Linked DNA regions of Elephas maximus indicus. The protein of the gene in region 1 interacts with the protein of each later gene in a biochemical or structural test. Links are inferred from orthologs where the notes say so. Each region holds a gene or a part of one and is shown on either strand. Other genes may lie near its edges.

The links. The genes of interacting proteins can lie anywhere in the genome.
Region 2: the proteins of NOTCH1 (region 1) and NUMB form a complex in vitro, tested with the Homo sapiens proteins (2 studies listed by BioGRID). The link is inferred for Elephas maximus indicus from reciprocal best matches to the Homo sapiens genes NOTCH1 and NUMB.

The regions. Positions count from the first base shown.
Region 1 is NC_064827.1:3,026,828-3,034,781, reverse strand, and holds the start of NOTCH1 (neurogenic locus notch homolog protein 1), read left to right. Parts: upstream 1-4,871; 5' UTR 4,872-5,072; coding exon 5,073-5,136; intron 5,137-6,804; coding exon 6,805-6,889; intron 6,890-7,954. UniProt on the Homo sapiens protein: Functions as a receptor for membrane-bound ligands Jagged-1 (JAG1), Jagged-2 (JAG2) and Delta-1 (DLL1) to regulate cell-fate determination.
Region 2 is NC_064828.1:86,240,645-86,247,954, forward strand, and holds the start of NUMB (protein numb homolog), read right to left. Parts: upstream 3,029-7,310; 5' UTR 2,945-3,028; intron 1-2,944. UniProt on the Homo sapiens protein: Regulates clathrin-mediated receptor endocytosis. Plays a role in the process of neurogenesis.

The DNA.
Region 1 (7,954 bases):
CCTCGGCATCTGTGCTCTGAGCTGTCAGGGCTCCGGGGACAGGTGAGGTAGCCCTGCACCAGCGGGAAAGGACAGGCAGGGTTGTCTCCCCTGGGCCAGCACCACTGCCCACCTGGCCAGCACCACTGCCCACCTGGCAGCCCCATTTCTTGAATGAGGAGTCCCAGGTGGCCCACAGGCTGGTCCTGCAGCCCTCAGCCCACCACCAGCAGGCCTTGTCAGCTCACCTGCGCTAGCCAGGGATGTGGGGGGACATGCCCGGGCACCACTCTCCTGAGCCTCCTGCGGAGGGAACAGGCCTGCCTCTGGGGTGCTGACCCTCCAGCCTGCGGGTTTCACAGCCACCCGCTGCCTCGGATGGGAGACCCCGTGTTGGGGAGGGCTTTGGAGCTCTGGTCAAAGTGTCCACCAGCAGGGGGCTGGGGGACAAGCTGAATTTGCACTGTGCGCTTGCTGGCCCTGTGCCCCTGTTCCCTCGGACCCTCCTTCTACCGCCCTTCTGGTAGCATCCCTGTGGGTGTCAGGACCCAGCAAAGACAGGTCCCTCCCTGCCTTCAGGGCAGCGCCTCCCTTCCAGGAACCAAACAAGTCTTAGCCGTGCTGAGGGATCAGTGCTGGGAGCCCGGAGGGGCTGGGGGTCCAGGGAAAGGCCCCCAACTCTGCCCAGGGCTCTGGGACAGCTTTCTGCAGGGGGTGGAGACTGAGCGGTCACTCAGGGACAAACGGGGGAGGTCACCTCAGCAAGAAATGTTTGTGAGACCTGGAGGCAAGAGAAGGGGTTGTGGAGCCTGAGGGGCTCCCCCATCAGGGCCTGGCAAATATGTCCCAGGGCGGGATCTAGTACCTGCAAGCAGGCTGGCCAGGTGCGGGCAGCTGGGTGCACTCTTGGGCCTGGGGGAGAGGGGCTCTGTGATGGGGTGGGGGCAGGGAAGCAAACACTAGAGATCAGCCAGCCCCTTTCCACTCTCAGGCAGGGCTTCCAACAGGTTGCGAACAGTTCTGTAACTGCCAGATCCCGAAAATTTCAGGAGCCTAATGCGGGAGGCTGGATTATTGGCAGGACTGCGGAGAGTGACACACATTCCAAGGAGCGCAGCCAGCCGCCATCTTTGAACAGGGCATCGCTGTTCGTTTCCTCCTGGGTCAAAGTCTGACGGGTCAAAGTCTGGTGGGTCAAAGTCTGACTGGTCAAAGTCTGACGGGCAACAGATTTGGTTGTCTTGCAATGTATACGCTGCCCTCATTTACGTCTGCAGTTACAGAATCATTCCTGACCTGGTCCCAATAAAAAAAAAAAAAATTATTTTATTTATTTTTTTTTATTATAGGAGGGGTGAAATCCTCCGAAGTTGACCGGCCACTTTTGAAATGGAAAAAGGCTTTAGGATCACTCGTTCGATGGGCACTGAGGCCCAGGGTGAGTGATAGCCCGTGGACGGCCAGCAGGGCAGTGGTAGGCCGGAATTTGGAGTCCAGTGCTTGGCTCAGAGCTGACGGACAGGTCTGGTGTAGGCCTGACTGTGGGGTGCAGCACTAGGCAGGAGAACCCCTGGAGCTGGCCACTTCTCAGGCCCCAGGGCTGGAGCTTGGCAAGCAGGTCAGAGATTTTACAGTGAACTTCGAAGGGTGGAGAGGCCTCACCCCTAGGCATTCCGGATCTTCCCACAACTCCCCAGTGGCACCCACCACTCAGATGAGACACATCACTCACCACGAGCCATGCCATACCATGCCACGCCCACAGTCAGTCCATCCTCCAAACTTTGGCCTCCTGACCACCACCCCAGCCTCCTCTTGGCCTGAAGACTCCAAGCCACCCTCCCCACACCAAGCTTCCTTTCCCTGCACCTCTTCCAGGCTGCCGCCCCCATATCATGGGCATGAGCTTGAGGGTGGGGTTCAGGGCAAGGTCCCCAGCACTGCCGCGTACACAGACAGCCCACCGCTTTCTGGGCCCATCTGCCGGGCGCCTGCAGAAGACCAATGCTGGGCCTGCTGCCCCCTAGCCAGTCTCCTAACAGCATCTCTGAACCCCAACTCCCTCACCTGTAAAATGGGGAGTGTCGTGCCCCCCAGGCCTGCAGGGGTCATGGAGGGCACCTGGAACTTCAGGGGAAACTGCTCTCCTGTGATCTCAGATTCCCCTCTGAAGCCTTACCCGCCCTGAGCTGTCTGCACATGCTGAAGGTCATACCGGGTGGCCAGGGTCTCTGTGCCTCACAGAACCGGGGCTGAGTACACAGCAGGCACCGCCTGAGTGTCTGTGGGCTGACTGCTACAAAGAAGGGCCCAGACGCTGGGGCCAGACAGACACCTCTATGTTAACATAGGACCCATCTGTCCTGAAAAGTAGTGGCCATGGCCCTGCAGGCTGGAGCTGGGAGGGCTTCCTTTGGGGGACAGGAATGGGCCAATGTCAGTAGGCCTCCCCAGCCCCTCCCATGAGGATACCCCAATAATGCTGGCACCTGGAGAAGAAGGTGGCCACTGGGCACCCCTGCCCCCCTCTGCAAGCTACCCCTCCAGTCTCCCCCAGACTGGTCCCAGGTTCCCTGGCCAGCTTGGGTGCAGCCCAGGGGTACCCACAACAAGCTGCATCATAGTTGGAGCCCCCATTCAGCTTCTCCAGGTCCCTCCCACACTCTACTGCTGGGATCCCAGGTGCCCCACATACACCCCCCATCATTTCTCCATAGCTCCCCCAAGGCCCACTTCCCAGGGTTACCCCCAGGCTGCTTGCCCCCACTGGAGAAGGTCACAGAAGTCCTAGCCTCACTCTTGCTTGGTCAGGAGCCCCATTCTCCCTGGCCAGGCCAAAGTGGGTAAAAGACAGGAAGGTCAGAAATATTCAGCCTAATTTGTGAATAAAAAAGCTTCTCACCTACTTGCCAGGAGTCAGGCCCACCCGTTCGTTCTCAGGCCTCAGGGGAGGGGAGGTCCCTACCCGGCCCACACCCTCAGCCTCTGCACCTCCAGCTACATTTGGCTTTCCTGGGGTCCCCTTGCTCCTGGCCATTTGTAGGGACCCCAGGTGGTGGAGACCTTAGGCAGCCCAGCTGGGAGGCCAGCTGCACGGTCTGTGGCTCAGTTGCTGTCTGTAAGGTGGGTAATGAGAGGGCCCACTTCCTGCATGGTCGGACCATGGGCATCCAGTGGGCCACAATCTTCCCACTGATGGAGGACAGAGGCTCAGAGTGGACAGGCTATCCTTACAGCTGGACCCAGACCCCCAGACCCCATGCTGTGCTCCCCGTCTCCTCCCCTGGCCTTCCAGCCTGCTCCTGGGTGGATGGGTGTGCAGTGGCTCCCAGAACAGAGCTGGACGGGCCTTCACTTGTGGCCCAGGGAAATTGGTGAGGTCAGATAGAAGGCACAGAGGCAGTGGCACCCTGAGGGGCCAGGCCTGAGGCCCTGAGTCGGGCCAGAGGCAGAGGGGCCTGGGGGTGAGATGCCCCCGGAGTCCCAGGTCTGTAAATGGGGTGGGGACTGCACCCCTCTCTTCCTTTTAGGGGAAAGCCTGCTCCTCCAGGCTGCCGGCTGCTCTTACATAAACATATCCACTACTTGGAGGCGCCTCCTTGGGGCACTGACCTCGAGAAGTTACCCAAGGTTCCAAGGAGGGCCGCCAGCTTCTGGGAGGAGGCGCCCGGGGGCTTCCAGCAGCCAAGGGCCTCCAGCAGCCGAGGGGCTGGACTGGCAGGGTCTCCCTGCGGTGGCTGCGCAGCAACAGGTGGGCCAAGACAGGCAGGAAGCGGGCTTGGCCATGTGGGAGTCTGCCCACCTCCCTAAGCAGGGCTGCCTCCTTTCCTCCAGAAGCCTGGGGACCCCAGCAGTCCTGTGGGTGTTCCCATCCCCAACACCCTTCCCCACTAGGTCTCTCAGCCTTTACCCCTCAGCTGGCATCGCCTACTCCAGGACGCGCAGCTCGGTGGGTGCACCTCCTGCCCTTGGGCTCACTGCCCTGATGCAGGATGGGGTGCCTGTCCCTGGGGCTAGTCCGTCTACCTTTGGTGGACAGGGACTGTGGCAGTCATTCTGGGCGCCCAGCGCTTAGCCGGCTTGGCACAGGGCACCCTATTGGGGCATCGCGCAGAGAAACACATCGCCCAGGCAGAGCACGTGTAGGCCAGCCCGGAGGCCGCGCCAGGGCTGGCTCTCCAGGGCCCACGGGTGGTTGGCGCCAGGGGCAGGCAGTAATGAGGAGCGTCCACCGTGGGGCCCTCCGGGGGAGCCGCTGAGCGCCCCCCTCGCGAGACGGTGGCTGCGGGCCTCCCCTCGGGGTGCCCGACTCCATTCCCCAGAGGCTGAACCGTGGCGCCATGGTCCTCAGGGCCAAGCGCTGCGGCCGTCCCGGTGGGAGTCAGGCCTGGGCTCTCGGGCCGGAGCAGGGCCCTGGGAGTGGAGCCCCGCCCGGGCCGGGATCCCCAAGCTCGGCCTCGGCGGATCAGCCCAGCCTCCCGGCCCCTGCCCCGCCGGCACGGTTCCGGGGCCTCTCATTTCCCCACTCCGCCGCTCCTCCTCAGCCATTGAGATGCAAATTGTCCCCAATTGTCGCCGAGGCGGCAGCGGCCGAGACGGATCCTTCCGCAATGCGTCCCAAAGTTTTGGCCTCGGAAACTTCGAACCAACAAGTAGTGCCTGCCCTGGCCCACCCTCCCGAGCGCGGCCCCGGTCCCGAGCGCCTGGCCTGGCAGCGCGTTCCCACCGAGGGGCGCATCCCGGGGTGCACAGCCGAGGGGCGCAGCCGGCCGGGAATCGGGGTTCAGACGGATCGCGGATGGGGTGTGAGGGGCGGGGCTTCACGGTGGGGCGGGGCCGCCCGGCGGGGCGGGGCGGGGCCCGGCGGGGCGGAACACAAGGCGGCCCAGCGCCTCACTAGTGCCTCGGCCTGCGGGAGGGAGCGCAAGGCGCGGGGCGAGCGCTGGGTACCAATCGCAAGCGGAGCCGGTGCCGGAGCCCGCGAGAGCCAGCGCCGCCCGCCCGCCCCCGGGAAGCAGAGGGCGGAGCGGGACCCCCGGCGCGAGTGCGCCCAGCCAGCCGCCCAGCCAGCGGAGCGCCGCGGGGAAGCAGGCATGCCGCCGCTCCTGGCGCCGCTGCTCTGCCTGGTGCTGCTGCCGGCGTTCCCCGCTGCACGAGGTAGGCGCCGCCCCGCGAGCCCGCAACTTTCCGCGCCCCTCTCCAACTTTGGCGGCGCTGCGCGCGCGCCCCGGGGGCCTCGGGCGGGGCGAGGAGACCGGGAGTCCCGGGCCAGGACTGGGACACCCCCACCCCCAAGGCAGGGCGGACTCGCGCTGCCCGGCGCCGGGGCCGCATCAAGAGCTGGGCGCGGGGCGCCGGTCCCGGGGTCTGGGGCCCCGCCGCCAAGCTCGCCTTCCCCGGCCACGCGTGGGCTTGCCGCGTGGCGCGCGGACTGCCTACCACTTTTCGATTTGAATCTAGTGGGTTTTGGTTTCCTGTTGCTTCTCGGAGCCATTAGTCTTGTTTCTGCGCATTGGGCCCGCGCCGGGGGCGGATGTTGGGGCGCGGAGCGTGGGGTCCCGGCTCTGTGTTCCCCTTGGCCAGCCCTCGCGGCCGGGGCCGGCAAGGCGCCGTGGGAAGCGGGGTCCGGGCCGACCGGCCTCCTTGGCCTTCAGGAAGGTTCGCGCGGGCTGGCGCGTGGAGCGGCTCCGGTCCCCGACCCCCGCGGACTTCCCCTCCCCGGGCGGGATCGCCGGCCGCCAGCCCGGCTCACAGCCTTTCTTTGGGGGGGGGTGCGGATCCCGGATTACAGACTTTTTGGGGGAGTGCGGAAGACTCGCCTTGGTGGGACCGAGTTTCGCTTTGCTCCGCGGAGTTCAAGTTTGGCGATCTTGGGGGGGGTGGAGAGAGACGTGGGAGGGAGCGCGGTTCCTGGCCCGATTCCCATCCCGAGGGTCTCCGGGCAATCTGGTGATTAATTCCTGTCTTCCCAAAAAGTTGGTGGTGAGAATTTTTCCCCCTTTCAGAAAGTCGAGTCCCTGTCACAGCGCCCTCCCCCCGCCCCCCGACGGCTTCACTTGTCCGGCGGGTGAGAGGGAAGGGCGGGGCCTCGTTTATGGACCGGTTCTCGGGAAGGGGGTCGCATTCCTTCCCAGCGGGGCTCCCCACCCTCCCATGGGTGTGGTGGGGCTGCCCCTGGAGATGGCCCCGCGGGAGCAGGTATTGGGTGTCCGCAGGGGCGGGGCGGCCAGGACGCAGGAGGCGGCCGGCGCGACAATGGCCCGCTCTGATTCCGCGACGGCGCTCTGTTGGCGGGCGGGGCGGCGGGCCACGCAGCTGTCGCATTTTCCCACGAGCGGGGAGCCGAGTGTGGCGGCCCCGACCCTCCCGCCGCCACCACGTCCCGGCAGCGTGTTTAAACATCAAGACAGCCTCAGTGGCTGGGTGGGGGCCCTAGCCCCCAGCCCCGTGTGGCTCTCTGAAGAAAACTGGGGAGGTGGGGGTGTAAAGTTGGGAGAGTGGCGCCGGGAGACATCACTTTTCTCCGCTGCTGCCAGGGGGCATATCAGTCACTCCCCACTTTGAGCACTGCCTGTCCACCTGCCAGCCCACCCCGCCCCCATTTCTGACTGGAACTTTGAAGTCTTTCGGGGTTCATTCTGGGGCTTCCCGGTGCCCCCTGCCCCTGCAACCCCAGGACTCTGAGTGAAGGGCCCCCGAGGTGAGGTCTGATGGCGGCACTTAGTCCGGAGCTGGTGACAGAGGCTAGGTTTCTGTCCTCAGAGATGGGCCGTTCCAGAAGCCGAGGCTCTGCTGACCCTCTTGTCTCTCCCCCGGCCCCCCCAGGCCTGCGATGTTCCCAGACTGGTGAGGAGACCTGCTTGAATGGCGGGAAGTGTGAAGTGTTTGCCAATGGCACGGAGGCCTGTCTGTGAGTATGCGCGCCCCCACGGGGACCTGTTGCTTTATGGGAGCGGGAGTCCCTGCCTTCTGCGGCAGCCGGGGACAGAACACTAGGCCATTGTCTGGTGGAGATGGCCCAGAAGGCTGGGCACGTCACGTGCTGACTTTTATTGGACAAAGTCTGGCAATTACTTAATCACCCGCAATTAGGCTGCGCGTGAGCTGGCCAGGCCTCGGAGGGAGGGTCCTGGGCTCCCTCTTCGTGGCCACCTCGGCCTACTGGGCCCTAGGTGGGTATCCTGGCAGCCCATTTCTCCCTGAAGTCCCTGAGAAACGGCTGACCTGTCAAGGGGTCAGGACTTCCACTGCCACCTGGGGAGCATCTCTTCTGGGCAGGTTGAGCACCTGTGGGCAGGTGAGCCTCTCAGAAAGAAATTGACTGTTTCAAAACAAAACCTAACTCTCTAGGCCTGGGCCTTCCCCAGCCCATTGCGCCAAGGCCTCAGGGTGAAACTGGGGAGAGAAGCCTGAACCGGCCCCGCCCATCTCTATGGGTGGGGGTGTCTATCGGGAAGCCTGGTTTCTCTCTTGGCTCTGCAAACTCCCAGCCTCATGAGCGCCATCCACGGCCCTTGGCTTAGCTGGAGAGTGGGCACAGGGGGGCTGAGAGATCTGTTTGGAGTGCCAGTCTGCCTCGGGACGTTTTCACTGCTCCCCGATGTCCTTCAACTTGAGTTTGCCCCTGATGGGAATACTGAGGAGGCCCTGGGGAGCCGTCCACTCCGCCTCCCGGTCTGCCCCCGGCGCGCCCTCATTCCAACCGTTGATGGGCCCATTCCCCTGACAACCCGGCCCACTGCACCACCGGCTGGCCTGCCCACCAGCAGCCCCCGGGCCCCCGCCCACCAACTGAAGCCAATTACGAAGGTCTGTGAGCAGTTTAATGGACAGAGCGGAATGTTCCTTTGTCAGATGCTAATGAATGCATGCTACTTTTTTTTTTTTGCTTTTTGGGGGCCTTCTCCTTCTGCAGAAGCCACACTGACGCTTGATGCCCTAAATCTTGTTTCCTTTCATTCAGAGGCCGACAGCT
Region 2 (7,310 bases), on another chromosome or scaffold:
TTTTGATCTCAAACATGCAATGATTATATGTTTTGCAGCCTCCCAAACAAAAATAAAAACTTTAAAGAAACAAAACTCTGAAATAGAACTAAAAATGATCTTTGAGGGAAAAAAACTAATCTGAAATCCTCATGCAAAGCTACACCAATAGTTTCTTCACAATTTCATAAAACATTAATGAAAGGGTTACATAAATCCCCAGATTAAAGATTTTAAAGAGAGCTGCAGGGATCTCCTTCAGTTTTCAATACTGCTATCTCTGTTCTTCTATTCACAAAAACACATCTAAATCAACTCCTTCTAAATATAAACCATCTCATTTTCAGAAGAAAATTCAAACCAAGAACAGCACAAAACGTATTTATTCTTAATATAGCTTAAATAAAGTATTATAGTTTACATTTAGTTCCCTCAAACAAATTAAATTCACAACATATAACATGTCCAGTTCATTCTCAAGGGAGAAAACCATCAAAACAAAAGCTCCTGTTTGATAAACTATTCTGTAGTTAAGCCTCTTCTATTGCAGGTGAATTTTGCTATCAAGTATTATCACAACTTATTCTCTCCACAAAAACCTAGAAATCTATAACACATAAGTAAAATATACCTAGTTCCCCTAAAAATGTCTGTTTTGTATCAGTGCAAGGCCAAGAAAAGCTTTAAAAATACTTTTTATTCTCTAAAAAGGAAATACTCTGCCTGCTTTTCTCTTTTCAAATATGTCTTAATTGGTTTTTGATTATTTTCTACGCATGTAATGCTCTCAAATCAGTTCCTTTCAATATTAGATGTTTACTGACAATACATCACTGTATACTTTGGCTTTTCACAGACAATGTCTTACAGGACAGGGGTAAAAAAAGAAAGGGTGAACAGGTGGGCACAAGTGAAACAAAAGCGTACTACATCTGAGAAGCACCACTCAATTTCTCTGCTTCAAATTCCCTTAAGTCTCCATGCCAAAGATTCTCAATATCCAAAAAAGTTCTACAGCCAGGAGAGGTACAACAAAATATGTGATCAGACAGACACCCCCCCCGCCCCCCCAAAAAAACCAGAAGCTAAAGAGATTTAATGGAATCTATATATCACCACCTCAGAAGGAATTACCACAAAAATGAGAAAAATAAATCATAATAAATCTAGTTCCCAGATAGCCCTACTGGAGGGTTGCTTTTGCAGCCACTACATGGCTCAAAACAGTTTTCAGAGTATTCTCACTGCAAGAAATACATTTCACTTTGCAACCTAGTACACACAGGTATTGACCAAGTGCGATGCACTATTCTGTTCTATTTCATTTTATTTTCAATGCAGGTTCTAGCTCACTAAATTGATCTATAACTTACTAATAAACCATGAAAAACAAGCTTAAGAGTGGGTATCCTTCATTTAGGAGCTTTTTTTTTTTGCAATTTGCCTCTACCTGTCTCTTTAGCAGAGTGGATAGGTATCTTAAGGTTGCTGCATTATTATTGTTTTCATTAAAGCAGCGGTTCTTTAAGTGTGGTCCCCTGACCAACATAAGCCTCACCTGAGATAAATACAAACTCTCAGGCCCCACCCCAGACCTACGGAATCAGAAACAATCTCAACAACTCCAGGTGATTCTGATGCAAGGTAACGTTTGAGAATCACCACATTAAAGACCCCAGGTGTTTTCCTTGTCTTCTATTTAACAATCCCATGCACATCAGTTACTATGTCCAATCACTATTCTAGAAGCTCTACAATGATTAACTCATGTAACAACATTCTCATCAAACAGGCAAGTAACTTAACCTTGCTTTTTTTTTTAGGACCTTTTCTCTGGTCCTAGATAGCATCTTAGTATGAATTATGACGCTCAAGTTTCTTTTCTTTCTGAAGACCTTACAACCTATCCATGGCCCCCACCGTTAATGCTTCCTATCTGCTGTTCTGCCAGTTTCCACTCTCTGGGTGAGCAACTTTCTCGCCTTATCTACTACTCCCTTCCTACAGGGAAATTATCTGCCCCCACCCCATCCCATTTTGCTTGACTCCTTTCTATCCGAGGGAACTTCCACACCCCTGCTGGACCCTCACCCCAGTCTCAAACCCCAGCCACTGCTCTAAGGTTTCTCTCCTGGATCCCCGATTATCCTCAGACCCCGAGCTCCCAGTCTAGTCTGTGGGGGGCAGGACACTCCAGTTCCCCCCCAAAGCAGTTCGAGGTCTCCACGGGTCCGACCCTCCGAAGACCCGCCGCTCCTCATCTGTCAGGAGCTCTTCTCCCTCAGACAGCCGCTTTTCTCAGGAAGGTTCCCAGCCCCCTCCCTGCCTTTCCTCAGACGTCCTCACTCGGACCCAGGCCGCTCCCTGTCATCCGGGACCCCCGGCCGCCCTACGTTAGCTTCCCACCTCCCTTCTCCCTCCGACCGGGGCCACTCCCAATTTCCCCGGCCCCCAGCTCTCTCGCTCACGGGCCGCTCCCGAGCTTCCTCTTCTCCCTCACAACACAGCCGTCCTAGGTGTTCCCGAGTCACCCCGCCCTCGAACCAGGTCGTTACCGGTCACCCCCTCTCAGCTATCAGAGACCCCAGCCGCTCCCGTCTTCCCAGGGACCTACCCCTCACACACCGGCCGCTGGTCAGCTCCCCAGACCTGACCACTGGGACGCCCCAAGGGACTTCCCGGCCTGACCTGCTTGGGTCCGGCCCAAGCCTACCTTCTCAGCCGGAACTGCGCCGCCAGAAGCCGGGCCATTCTCCCACCAGCCCAGTCAGCGAGAACTCGCCGCCGCCGCCGCAGCAGCAGCCGCAGCCGCCGCCGCCGCCGCCGCCGCCCCCGCCCTGGCCCCGGCCCCCACCGGGCCCGCACTCCAGGCCCCTTTCCTTTAGTCTCCGTCCCCGGAGCGCCAAGCCGCAGTTTCCGTCCTGCGACAGCCGCCAGGGCTCAGGCCCGCGTTACCGGCACTCACCTGCCGCTGCTCCAGACCAACTCCAGTGCCACTGCCTCTACCTCGGCCGCCAGTAGCCACCTAGCGCCACCACCTCCCCCATGACAACAGTCCCACCCCGTTTCGTACTTCCCACCTACCCATTGGTCAGTGGAGCGGCAGCTCTCTCCTTTGATTGGTTGACCTAACCCGCCCGTCACAGCTTCTTTGCCGCCCCTTTTCCGGGACCCGGTATTTGCCCCCGCCCGGACCTGGAGAGTCCTAGACTAAACTTTAGTTGTGATTGGGCGATGATTGCACAGTTCGACGTTTTGATAGGCTTTTGAAAGTGCCTGTTATGTCAATTGGCAAAGGATGTGACAGCCAAGGTTGGTTCAAGCTTGTGAACAGTTTGGTTGCGCAGTAGCAATCAAAGAAGGGGCAGATACTCACATCTAAGGTTACCGGGAAAGGGTTAACTCTTTGTTGTAGCGTTCCCTCTGTCAACTCCTCCCGTCCTCCAGCTTCCTTCATTTAAGCACAAGCTTATCACTAATAGGCTACTTGTACGGGTAGTAATTACAAAACGCCCACGTCAGAGGGGGAAAGGCACTATATAGATTACAAAAAAAAAAATTTCCCTTTCTTTTCTTTAAGGTCTCAGTGCGCCCAATTTCCTTTAAGTTCTTTCCAGGAGTCTGCACACTAAAAGCGCAACCGTTCATTTAGCAGCAATCAGTCCACTTCAGTTGCAATTAAAAATATCTCTAATAAATTGAAGTGGCATGTTGAGAGTTCTCCAACTTCCGAACTCGCTCCAGGCAGCCAACATCAAGTTTGGACTAAGCAAGCGACATATTATCCTTGCGATGCTCTGGAAATGAGAATCCCGCCCTCCCCACCTCCTTAAATGTGGCTTTTATGTTCAGCACTTCTGAAATAGCCCTACTAGCTGCATGTCAGATACTTAGAAAGCTTGTCTTTTTTTCTAAACCTCTCCTCTTCCTAGCAGTCTTTAGTCTAAATTAGGTCCACAGAATGAATTGCAGTTCTTTTCTCACATGGGCATGATGCGCAAGAATAAATGATGACTTTTTTTTATTCATTTGGGTACAAATCACAGTAGGCATTTTTGGGAAATACGGTGTTGCTATAAAAACTCTTGTGCTTCTACAAATATATTCATCATTAGTTTTTGCTTTGCTTTTTCTTCCCCGCCCCCACTTTTCCTGCTCCTAAATAACAAAATGCTGGCCTGACTACTGCTTCAATTTCTAAATCAGATCTAAACATACCTTCTTCACATCTCTGTTAATACACAAAACTACGGGCCATGAAACATACACCAGGGATGGGATGGAACACCATCAGGAATCCACTCACAGGCACTACTTTATGGTCAGGAACTTCCCGTACAACCAAGAATCTGGACTTCAGAAATTTTGTGCTTTGCCCCTTCTTCCTTCTAACCCTTGGTCTCATCTCTCTTCTATTTGCCCTACTGTTCTTTGCAGAGGAAGCAACAAGAAGTCTAAAACTGTGTGGCTTGTTATCCAGAGAAAAGCTGTCTATTTTCTAGCCTGTATTTTTAGTCATTTAAATAAACTACACACCTCTATCACCAAACTAAGCGAAAATTATTCCTCCAGTAAATATACAGAGCAATAAGGTGTCTTTTCCTAGTTATTTTCCGGAACTTCCCTCCCCCTTCTCTCATCTTCACGTTCCAATTTAGAAATCACCTCCTATTCAATTCAATGACTCATAAAAAGCCTGTAAAAGGAAAATGGAAAAGCCAAAACAACTTTGGAGGTGCCTGAATCATTCAGCAGAAGGAAAGATCAGACGTTGACCATGATAAGATGGAAGCCAAGACATAAGGCAAGCCTGAGCTAACATGCCATAACAGATGAAATAACATGCAACTGTGAAGATGCCCCAGTGAGGAGGCACCACTTGTCCTTTTACACAGCATTTTAACATAGCAGCAGCAGCTTTCTCCCCTCCAGCCTTGGCAGTGTGCTGTACCTACCAATTTTAGAACAAGTTAGAAGGCAATTAATGTCCTGGCAGATAGGAAACAATAACGTCATAGGAGGTCATGGCCATTATTATGGTACTTTGGGTAATAATGGCTCTTGCACAGCTATAGTGACTATGTGCCATAGAGAACATAGAATTAGGCCAGCCTCACTAAGAGAACTTGCCATCTAAGTTCAGCAACTCAACAAAATTACTATCACAAAACTAGGTGGAAAATTGCCACAGAGGTCAGCTAGTCATTCTATTTCACACACTTAAAAATAAAAAAGCATTGATAAATGCTTTTGCTCATACATGCATACATACTTCCATCACACCCACTCCTTGTGAAAATCAGTTAAGAAAATAAATTTAAAATAAGACATGTAAAGGTGATCGTTACGACCTAAGAAGAGGGGAAATCTTAAAGAAGGAAGGTTTTAAGGAACATGCTTTGAACCAACGGAAAACTATTGTGTTATCTAAGCCTGTGAAGTTTTGGAAAGGTTATTGCTTGTAGCCTACGTTTGGGTTTTGCATGCACAAGGTAAACTTACAACCTAATTATTCTTCCCAGATTCTCTTTTCTTTCCTGTGTTATGTGCTTCTCCACTGCTCTCCATGTCCTCCTCTTAGAAAGCAAGAGCACTGGAGTCTGGGAGTCTGCAGCGTTGTTATGTAGCTGGCTGTTGAGGTGGTACAGATGGTTATCCGTTCAGAGCCACTTGAACAAGACCAGGATGGCAGGTATAATAAGGATAAAAACAGCCCTATAAATCCCAATTTAAGTGGGAGGTGGAGGACTCAAAGCGAAGTCCCATTACCTGAGGAGAGATATATATACCTCGGGCTTTATTGTACACTAATGCTACTTTTCTCCTATTCTCTTTTCATAATATCACATTTCAAGGGAGCGGAATGCAAACTCCTTTCATTTCTATTTTAGTCCAGGGAGGCAATCTGGCTGAGGAAAAGTTCCACTTTTTGTTTTTGAGGGGTTTTTTACCCTGGGGTTCTACACACAATTCCAACTGGATTAGAGAAACAAACAACTGGTAGAGAAGAAAAGTGCTCAGATAGCAGACAGGAGCTGGAGCTACCTACTACTAGCAGCTGGAGACAAGCCAAGATATTTGATAAGAGGTGGTTCCCTGAGTTAGTGATCCCTGAAAGTGAAGGCTAAAAGGGATGAAGGAATTGGAGAGGAAGGAGGAGAGAGAGAAGAGATTAAAAAAAGAGAGAGAGCGAGAGAAGGCTAGGAGAGAAGAGGGTAAGGAAAACTAGAAAGAGAGTCAAGAAGTTACAGAGTGCTGAGCCAGCCTGGAATCCTGCCCCCTTCTCTCTGGCTGTGGACTTTACTCTAGGTTGCATAATTCCACCAGCAAAGTGCAGCCCCTGACACTGGTTGAAAGGGGTGGTGTGCCAGGCCTATAGGACTGTTACTCTCCTGCCACCTGGAAATTCTCCCTGAGCTCAAAGCCTGCTGTTCTGGCACCAGGGCAAAGCTGACAAGGAAGGACAGATTCACGCAGCCAGCCAAGGAGTGTGGTTCTTCATGCAATTTCATAAAGGTGACCACTGGCATGGAGTTCTGGCCAAACAATGGGAGATTATCCGGGAGAAGATGTTTTCACCACTCCACACTGGGGAGCGTCCAATACAGGGAAGTGCCAAGCTGCTACACTCCACACTGAAACAAAGCTCTATGGTTCAAAGTTTAAGGTTCTGTTTCATGCAAAAAGAAATGGTAGAAAGGGGCGTTCTGTCAGGCACAATCCTTTGCTTTTCAATTTCAGGGCTCATATGATTTTTAATAAGTGTACCATACCTTCTCATTATTCAGTGTGTCCATGTTCACCCTCAAAAATGTATATGCCCCTCACTCACCCACCCACCATGTATATTATAGGCAAAAGGGCTTCAGTGCTTGTAAAATGAGTGGGCTGCAGCTCTTAGCTCAACCATTGTGTTATTGAATAGAGCCTCTGGTTACTATCACCAGATCTATGGGTGGACCAGCCATTCTTCTGCAGTGGGAGGGAGCCGCTCAAAGCTCTTAGTGCCATTTACAGTTTTATCCATGCCTGTTCTACACACACACAAAGAATTTCCTGGAAACATGGCTATACTCCAAGGATTTCAAAGAGTAGAATCCCTTCTAGAGTTCCAGTTTCTTAGTCACTTGGAACCTCATAAGGAAACAGACTTGAACTCAGACTCTTGAACCTAATATGTTCAGATCCTGGCTCTGCAACTTACTAGCTATACGACTTTGGAAAAAGCTGGTTCTTCTCCCTAAGCTTCAGTTTCTTCATCCAAAAAATGGGAAATACATTAGCTATCTTTTATGATATAACAAATTATTCCCCCAAATCAGTACCTTAAA